2 linked regions of the Caenorhabditis elegans genome follow. The protein of the gene in region 2 interacts with the protein of the main gene of each other region in a biochemical or structural test. Each region holds a gene or a part of one and is shown on either strand. Other genes may lie near its edges. The genes, in order: sax-3 and sax-7.

Region 1 (3,924 bases), on a different chromosome or scaffold from region 2:
CGTGATTACGGGCTGTCCATCCTTGTACCATGTGATTTTGGCGGTAGATGGCTTTGCACCACAGTTGAGGGTTGCTGGCGATCCCCTAGATACCACCACATCGATGGGATGTTCGATTATCACGGGAGCGAGATTTGAGGCATCTGAAATTATATTCAAGATTTGAAAAGGTTCAAAACAACATCATTCCCCTGTTAGAATTTTTTTTACTTTCCTCATCTCCCATTCATCTTATTTCCACATACATCAACACTTTGATTTTATCCATCTTGACAATGTGAATAAGAAAGGAAACTTGTCCAAGTGCATTAAATCAATCTGACCGATCCGGCACGCGCAATACTGTCACATCTGTATTATGGTGTCGAAACGAACACCTTCCCTCACCGATTTTTCAGTAGAGATGTGCGACACTATTGTCCTTGACGGACGGTAGGTAATAAAATGATTCACTAGGAATTTTATCAAAATTTATGTATGTGTGTGTGTGTGTGTGAGTGTGGTAAAAACCTAGATAGTACATTAACGGCTGGTTTATTGGGTGTCGGTGGTCTATTACATAAGATTGCCATTGACCTCCGACGGATTACCCATCTTCTCCCATCTGCTTCAAAAAATATCAAAAAGCCATTTTGAATCACTTGTTTATGGCATTCACCCTGACACTGCTGCGCACACACTTAATAAAAATTTCAGCAGGCCGACTTGTTTTCCTCCACTTCAAAATACGGACCACTGTTGTTTTCCACTAGTAAATTACCAGACCAAAGTGTGGCTAACAAGCTGCCGGATTCAACAATTTAATTAGCCTGGCTGTCCTTCTGTCTCTTCTGTCACCTCTTTAACCTTTCAACAATCTAGCGTGCCAGTGTCAAAATGTGCGCACGCGAGTAAACTATCCATGAACCAATGTATTGTACTCTGGCTACAATTTAATGGCCGTGTTAACCTTCAAAATATTATACTACGCTGCCTGCCCGCCTTTTCATCCATAGGCAAGACAAAACCAAAGAGCTGTGAAGATGTACACATATCTCATCCTGTCAACACCCAATTTCACAATTCGCCCGTCATTCTTTCGCAACACATTGGTGTTGAAAGCTTCTGCTAAAAAGCAGGCTGTCTTTCTAAAACATGAGATGCAACTGAATATTTTGGACAGCGCCAACAGCTCATTAATAACCTACTAGTCTCTGGGGAGGGATTTCAAATAGCTTCTCATCTTCTATCAACCGCATGCTAATGATTCTCAATTTTACGGATATTCGCATGCATCTTAAAACTGTGCTAAAATGTTTAAATGACCCAGGTTGGGGCAATTTATCACATTGAATAATGACTTGCACATTGCACAAATTACATTGTGGAAATGTGGAAATGTGGAACAAGACAAATATCGAGAGTCTGCGGGTGGTCGCTCCCAACTGTTTCTTATATTTTCGTTGCAAATTACACTGGCTCTGGTCGCTGTACAAAAAGACTTATTGTTTTAAGAGATTAGCATTTGAATGGTGAATACTTGAGAACACGCGCCTCAATGAGACTAACTCCTCTCATTCATTTTCTATACCATTTATTCTCCCCCCGTCCTATTCACTATTGTTTTCTCAACATTACCATCCAAAAGCGGGGCTTGGCTCGGCCAAGAGGGCAGATGGCAGTCCAAAACGATAATCGAATCTTTTTACACTATAGTCGGCAAACGAGCTCACAATCCAAGCAGCGAACCCGCTTTTGGTGTTTGACAAAATGAAGAGTCATGTCTAATAGCGCAAGAGTAGAAAAAGCAGCGAGTAAAGAGCATTTTTCCAAGATGGAGGGCATTCGTTTCCGCGCATTCAGTCAATCTTCGTTTTAATCGCTTTCTTCGACATGGGAAATACAACCCAACCTAATGGATTTTCCAAGTTTCCAAGTGAATTCAAAGAAAACCCACGAGTGGATCGAATAGCGTGTCTTGTTGGCGACGCGTTTTTTTCACCATGTAACTTGACACTTTTGGTACATTCTTAACTTAACATTTTTTTTCTAGAAAAAAAAAACCAACCTTCGCAGAAGCTTCGGATTACTGCTTGCAATACCAGGAGGATAGTGCATAACAGCGTTTTTCGATTGAACATGATCTTGTTTTATTCAATCTGTGTCCAATTTCAAAGGCTGCATCTAATTGTGGCGGTGTTCTGAATTTCCAGTTGGGAGACACCTGCAAGAAAAACACAAAAGTAATCAAAGTTATTGGCGGTTGTTTTAAGAGTGGGCGACAAAATGACGGAAAGAGAATGAGGGAATATAAAAGGAGAAACAAGACAAAATAGGTGATGGGAAAAAGATGGAAAAGGGCGAAAAAAGCGTGGCCCTGGGTGTAATCATTCATCTTTGCTAGGGTGACACTCGGGAGAATAGATTTAGAAGGAAAAAAGGAAAAGACACAACAAAGTAATTGAAAAGTTGACGAGCGTCGTCGTCGTCGTTTTCAAGACGCGAAGACGATTTGTGCGTCCGTTTTTGCGCATTTTCGGTGGTGGTGGTGGTGGAGCGATTCGGACGGAAGCCGACCCTAAATTGGACTAGAGAGCCACATTCTAGAATGAAGAACAAATTTAGTCTTCTACGCGACGGAAGATGTTGGACAAAAAAAAATAAAGAAAAAATGCACGGGAGGCAAAAGTAGCCAGCAGGAAGACAAGCAACAAAAAAAATGAGGACGCAAAGTTAGGAGGCAAACGTAGTGAGACTGGTTAAAGATGACGCGCAGAAGGACGGATGAAGGATGGATATAGAAGATGAAAGAAAATGAACAAGTCGATTTTGAAAGGATTTTCTTAAATGCGGCGAGGCGTAATCAAAATTTGGTGTAGTGAAAAGGCAACTTGAAAAAGGAAACCTACTCTGACAAAAAATATAAAAAATCTTTAGTACTAAGTTCGTGGCAGATTGGGAAGTGTGCAGGAGTTGTTTCAAACTGCACAAGACTCCCGAAAAGCTATGCAAAATTTTATTTTACGCAGGAGTTGTGCAAGATTGTAGTAAGAATCCGTTGAAGTTTCAATCTAAGTAGAACTTCATCAAGTCTATATAGGCGTTTTACTTTACTTGGGAAATTTGATTTTTGCCAGAGTATCAATAAAATAACTATAGCTACAATTTGAACATGGAAATTAAAAACTTCAAACACAGCAAAATGGCCAAAATTAGGAAAATACCTTGAAATTAAAAGAAAAACGGATTTTCAACATCACCAAATGGTTCAAAATTTTTATACATACAAAAAGCTTTCATTGTTTCTCTAACAACCAAAAAGAAACAAATCACAATTTAGTACAAATGCATTTGCAGAACATTTAAAATGAGGACCGTTGAGACGAATTGCTAGAAGGCGTAGACGCAGAATGTTAGACATCAGATTTCCTCTTCAAGGTGTGTGTGCAATGCGCGGGGAGATAAACGCGCAAAGAGGAGTGAGACAAGTATCGATTTATGTTGTGCCAGCGATTGAATAATACTGATTAGATAAACTATCTGGCAACAGGCGGGCGAATAAGAAAAATCAATACGCTTTATTCTAGACAAGAAAGTACTCGAGAACATATCAAAGCTCTCAACTCAATAAGGTCGTCAGAAAGCTCATAATTGTCAGATAAATAACCTAAATAATGCGCGTCAAGAGCACGGCGATGACGGATGTCCATGTCATGCAAGCGGCTCGATACGGAACGAAACCGCATGGAATATGAGGGGATAGCCGGGGCTATACGTCGCCCCCTTCCCTGGTTAAGTAATTATTCCAATTCGTGGCCGCCCTCCTCTCACATTCGACTACCCGTTCATTAGGTCCATTGTAGACCGAACCTATGCCCATGGACCAACGAGGCAAACGATTGGGGGACGGGAGGACGACGAAGAAGAAGGAAAACCCGGCCCTGT
Region 2 (3,924 bases):
CATCTGTGACGATTCGGGTGTTCGTCTTCTGTCCTTTTTGTTTTATTACCGTCCCGACCGACCGCTGTAGAAAACGGAAGATACCCTCTTTTTCCCCTACCCATCCTTATATTGATACATCTAAAGCGTGCCTTCTCATTTCTCTATAGCAACTTTATTTAATAATTCATTCTTTTTGATGTTCACTGCTGTTGAAGCTACTCTCTATGTTCTGCTTGATCTGCTCATCGTGGCGGTGTTCATGAAAGCAAGATTGATGTGTTATGAATAATGAGGAAAAGAGAGTGAACTGCCAAATCCAAATTTTATGAATTTGGAGAAATAACCAGACCTCTTTTGGCTCAGAGACACACTCATTTTACGACCTTCTTCCGTGACATATAGAGAGTAATGCGGACGAAAGGATTTCGAGAAATCTGTCCGATCGACTTAGCACAATGCTCCGGAAGTATATAGTCTGTGGTGTCACAGGTTTTTTTTTCGCATCAAAAATTTCATGTCTCCAAGTCGATGAAACTGAATTGTATTTTTTTATTTTAGAAATAATTTTTTTAAAAAAAATTTTTAAATCGCGTTATCCAAAGAAAAAACGAATAATTCAATAGAGAAACTAGGCTTGATCGAAAGGTAGACCAGAAATTTTGCAATCGTTTCGAGACCCGAGCATGTGCGCTCTGTTGCGCGCCTTTGCTACAGTACTTGCATTTGTTTTGTTTCGCCGCCAAAACGATTTTTAACGAAAACTCTGAATTTTCTCTGTTTTTCTAGTGTTTTTACTTGTAAAACTACAAAATTTATTAGTCTAAAAGTAAATTAAAACATCTGAAAGTCGTTTTCGATTCGAAATAACGTTTAAATCACATTTTCCGTTAAAAACCTGATCATGTTCCCGTTTTGAATGTTTCAGACGCGCTGTGTTGAAAATTTAGCTTTTTTCGGATAAAAATCACCTATTTTCTGTCGTAAATGATTTGTGGCCCAGAATCTTTGAAGTCTTGTTATTCTTTTACCCACGCATCCATACGTCTCATAGGTGACATCTCGTGCGTAGAACATTTTGAGCAACAAAAATCGAGTAGCGTGACGCGAACGCATTTTTCTTTTTTCCTTTTCTTTCCTGAAAACGTCCTTGAAGAACGGCCGCTTCTGAAGAATGGAGCAGCTCTCGTTCTGATTGCAAAAAAAAACGAGACAACCGGTAAAGTACAATGCCATCGGCTACCGCCATGCGCAGATTGCGTCGGTTCTGTGTGTGTGTGTGTGTGTGTGTGTGTGGACTGTCAACGAATACATCTATCACCCCCGTTGACTTCTCCTCATGCCCTTCTTTTCTCATCTTGCATTCCATTTTTTCCACCTTATGTTTTTGTCTGTACTTTTTTAAAAATAACTTTTTTTGTTGATAATTTTCGAAACTTTTTTCTCTTAATTTTATTTTCGTAATGAATCAAACAACAGATTTAATTTCTTATTCTCATCGTTAATCCAACGTGCTTCCTCATGGTCACTTTTCGGTCAGCGGGGTAGATTCCCATGAATTCTCGCTTTTTTTCATTTGCATAATCGGGAAAAGGAGAAACCTAGACAAAATAAGAAGTTCTTTATTTCATTCTTCTGATTTTAAAGTCTTTCGTTTATTTTCCGGTTTTAATGTAATCCCAATTTTCGAAATTTTAAAGATGAATCAGATTTTGTACGAGAATAGTTTCATTTGCACAAGTAGTAGTACAATTATTTTCTTGAAAATTGAGGGAAGATTCTATTTTTTCAAACTAATTCATGTTTGTTTAATTCTTAACGTTTCCTTTTTTTTCATTTCTCGTTGTTTTTTCTCCGAACTTCTCTCAAAATTCTTCGCAAGCTTTATTCCAATTTCAGGATAGAAAAAGAGTATCGAACGAAGTTCGACGCGATTCTAGATCACGTCGAAAGACCACCATCATGAGGAGCTTCATATTCCTCTTGTTACTCACTGGCCACATATCATCAGGTGAGAATTCTTTTGACGTCGAGGACATCATATCGCTTCGAAAATTGTTTGATTGGCGATTCATGTTGACATATTTGATTGCAACATCATTTTACGCCCTTTTTTGTTGTTTTTTAATGGCAAAAATGAAAATAAATATGGAATCAAGATATTCAAAGCCTTTTTATAGAAAAAAATTGTAAATAAATAATATTGAGAAAAACGCTGAAAAGCATTTGATGTGCTCAAATTTATGAACAAAAAACAAATATTTCTATAACAGAAACAATTGTCAAATATCCATATATATGTAGCAACATTTCTAATAAAAACTGTTTCAGGCAGCATAGATTGGTCAGCGATCGAAACTCCTCCACAATTTGTTCACGATAAGAATGCAGATACCGTTTACTTTAAAGTCGAAAAAAGTGGAATGAGTGATGAATCGGCGAAAAATACGCCCGGTAATCTGCTCGAACAAACGATTCATTGCTATGCAAATGGAAATCCAAGGCCTTCGTAAGTTTTTTGTAATGTTTCTGAAAAAGTAAAATTTAGAAAAAAAAATGAATCTTCAAATATCTTAAAATAATTTTTATTGAAAATTAGACTTGCATGCAATACTAATTGGGAAAGATACGGTAGTTTCTATCTAAATTTGAAAAAAAATTCGAAGTCTTTTTACTGCTTCTAAAATTGCTTTAAAATCCTTTTGGCAGTTTTGGTGGAGCATTAAAAAATTTGAAAATTCAACATTATGCTCTACGAACAGTTTCCATTTGCATTTTTATTTTTCAACTTCCAGAATTAAAAAGTGTTCAAAATATGTTTTTTATACTATTTTCTTTATTACAGATATCGTTGGAAAAAGGATGGTAAGACGTTCCTGCCGTCCATGTTTCCGGAGAAAGTTGTTCAGAAACCAGGAGAAGGTGAATATTTTTTGTTGTTGTAAAAATCTAAAATTGAGAGAATATGGAACATTTTTGAAATTAAAAAGATGGAGTAACTGAATAGTTAAATGTTTGTTTCAAATTATTATTCTGATTTGAAAAAAGTTCACTTCATTTAAATATAAACAAATTTGTTTTATTTTTGTGCAATTATAAAACTCCCACATGCAGGAAAAACAGGAAAACAGTTTTTCCTCAAATCCAAAAAAAATCGAAATTTTCGGTTAGGCCTAAAAACCGAGAAATATTGATTTCTCATTAAAAAAAAGTTCGGTTTTTCAGAAAACCTGTTCTGAAATAAATATGACATTTTCCAGGAAGCCTTGTGTTCTCCCGTCTTGATGAATCTGATGCCGGATTATATCAATGTGAAGCTGAAAATTCGAATGGAACAGCTGTTGATCGTCCTGTCCGTGTACAAGAAACATGGATTCGTCATTTCAAAACTGCGGAACCAGAAGTTGTAGTTGTCGAAGTTGGAGATCCGTACCAAAGAAATTGTTCTCCACCTGCTAGTAATCCATACGCAAGAGTTTATTGGATTCTTATGGGAAAAGAACCGGGACATTTCGAAACTATCAGTAGTAGTCATATTTCTAGCAATGAACAAGTGAGTGATAACAGTTTTTTTTTTCATTCTTTTTACAGATCGTTTCTCGTAACCTCATTGTGCCAAGAAAACTTTTCTCATTCACTCCCTGTTCTTTGTAAACCAAAATCAAACAATTTTCATAGAATTGAACGATTTTTGGAGAAAGATTGAAGAAAAAACTATTCAGTGCTTCTGGCTGTATCGTATTCAATTTTTCGAAAAAAAAATAACTAGACGAATAATCTCTGCGATTAAGTTTCAAATTTGCTGCTCGTTCCAATCTTCAAATACTAAAGAAAACTTCAATTTCCATGTATTTTTTTTCAATTAAAATCAAATCAAACAGAAGTTTTTAAAGTGTTTCGATTCTATATTTTGAAATTGTAACTCGTGGATGATTTCGACGATTC

Evidence for each region.
Region 1: the proteins of sax-7 (region 2) and sax-3 form a complex in vitro, tested with the Caenorhabditis elegans proteins (one study listed by BioGRID).

What each region holds. Positions count from the first base shown.
Region 1 is NC_003284.9:3,463,723-3,467,646, forward strand, and holds the start of sax-3 (Protein sax-3), read right to left. Parts: upstream 2,206-3,924; 5' UTR 2,164-2,205; coding exon of another isoform or gene 2,134-2,163; 5' UTR 2,121-2,133; coding exon 2,048-2,120; intron 144-2,047; coding exon 1-143. UniProt on the Caenorhabditis elegans protein: Required to confine migrating sex myoblasts to the ventral muscle quadrants during their migration through the body and for multiple aspects of sensory, motor, and interneuron axon guidance.
Region 2 is NC_003282.8:8,060,791-8,064,714, forward strand, and holds the start of sax-7 (Neuroglian), read left to right. Parts: upstream 1-1,868; 5' UTR 1,869-1,941; coding exon 1,942-1,990; intron 1,991-2,310; coding exon 2,311-2,488; intron 2,489-2,824; coding exon 2,825-2,901; intron 2,902-3,239; coding exon 3,240-3,532; intron 3,533-3,924.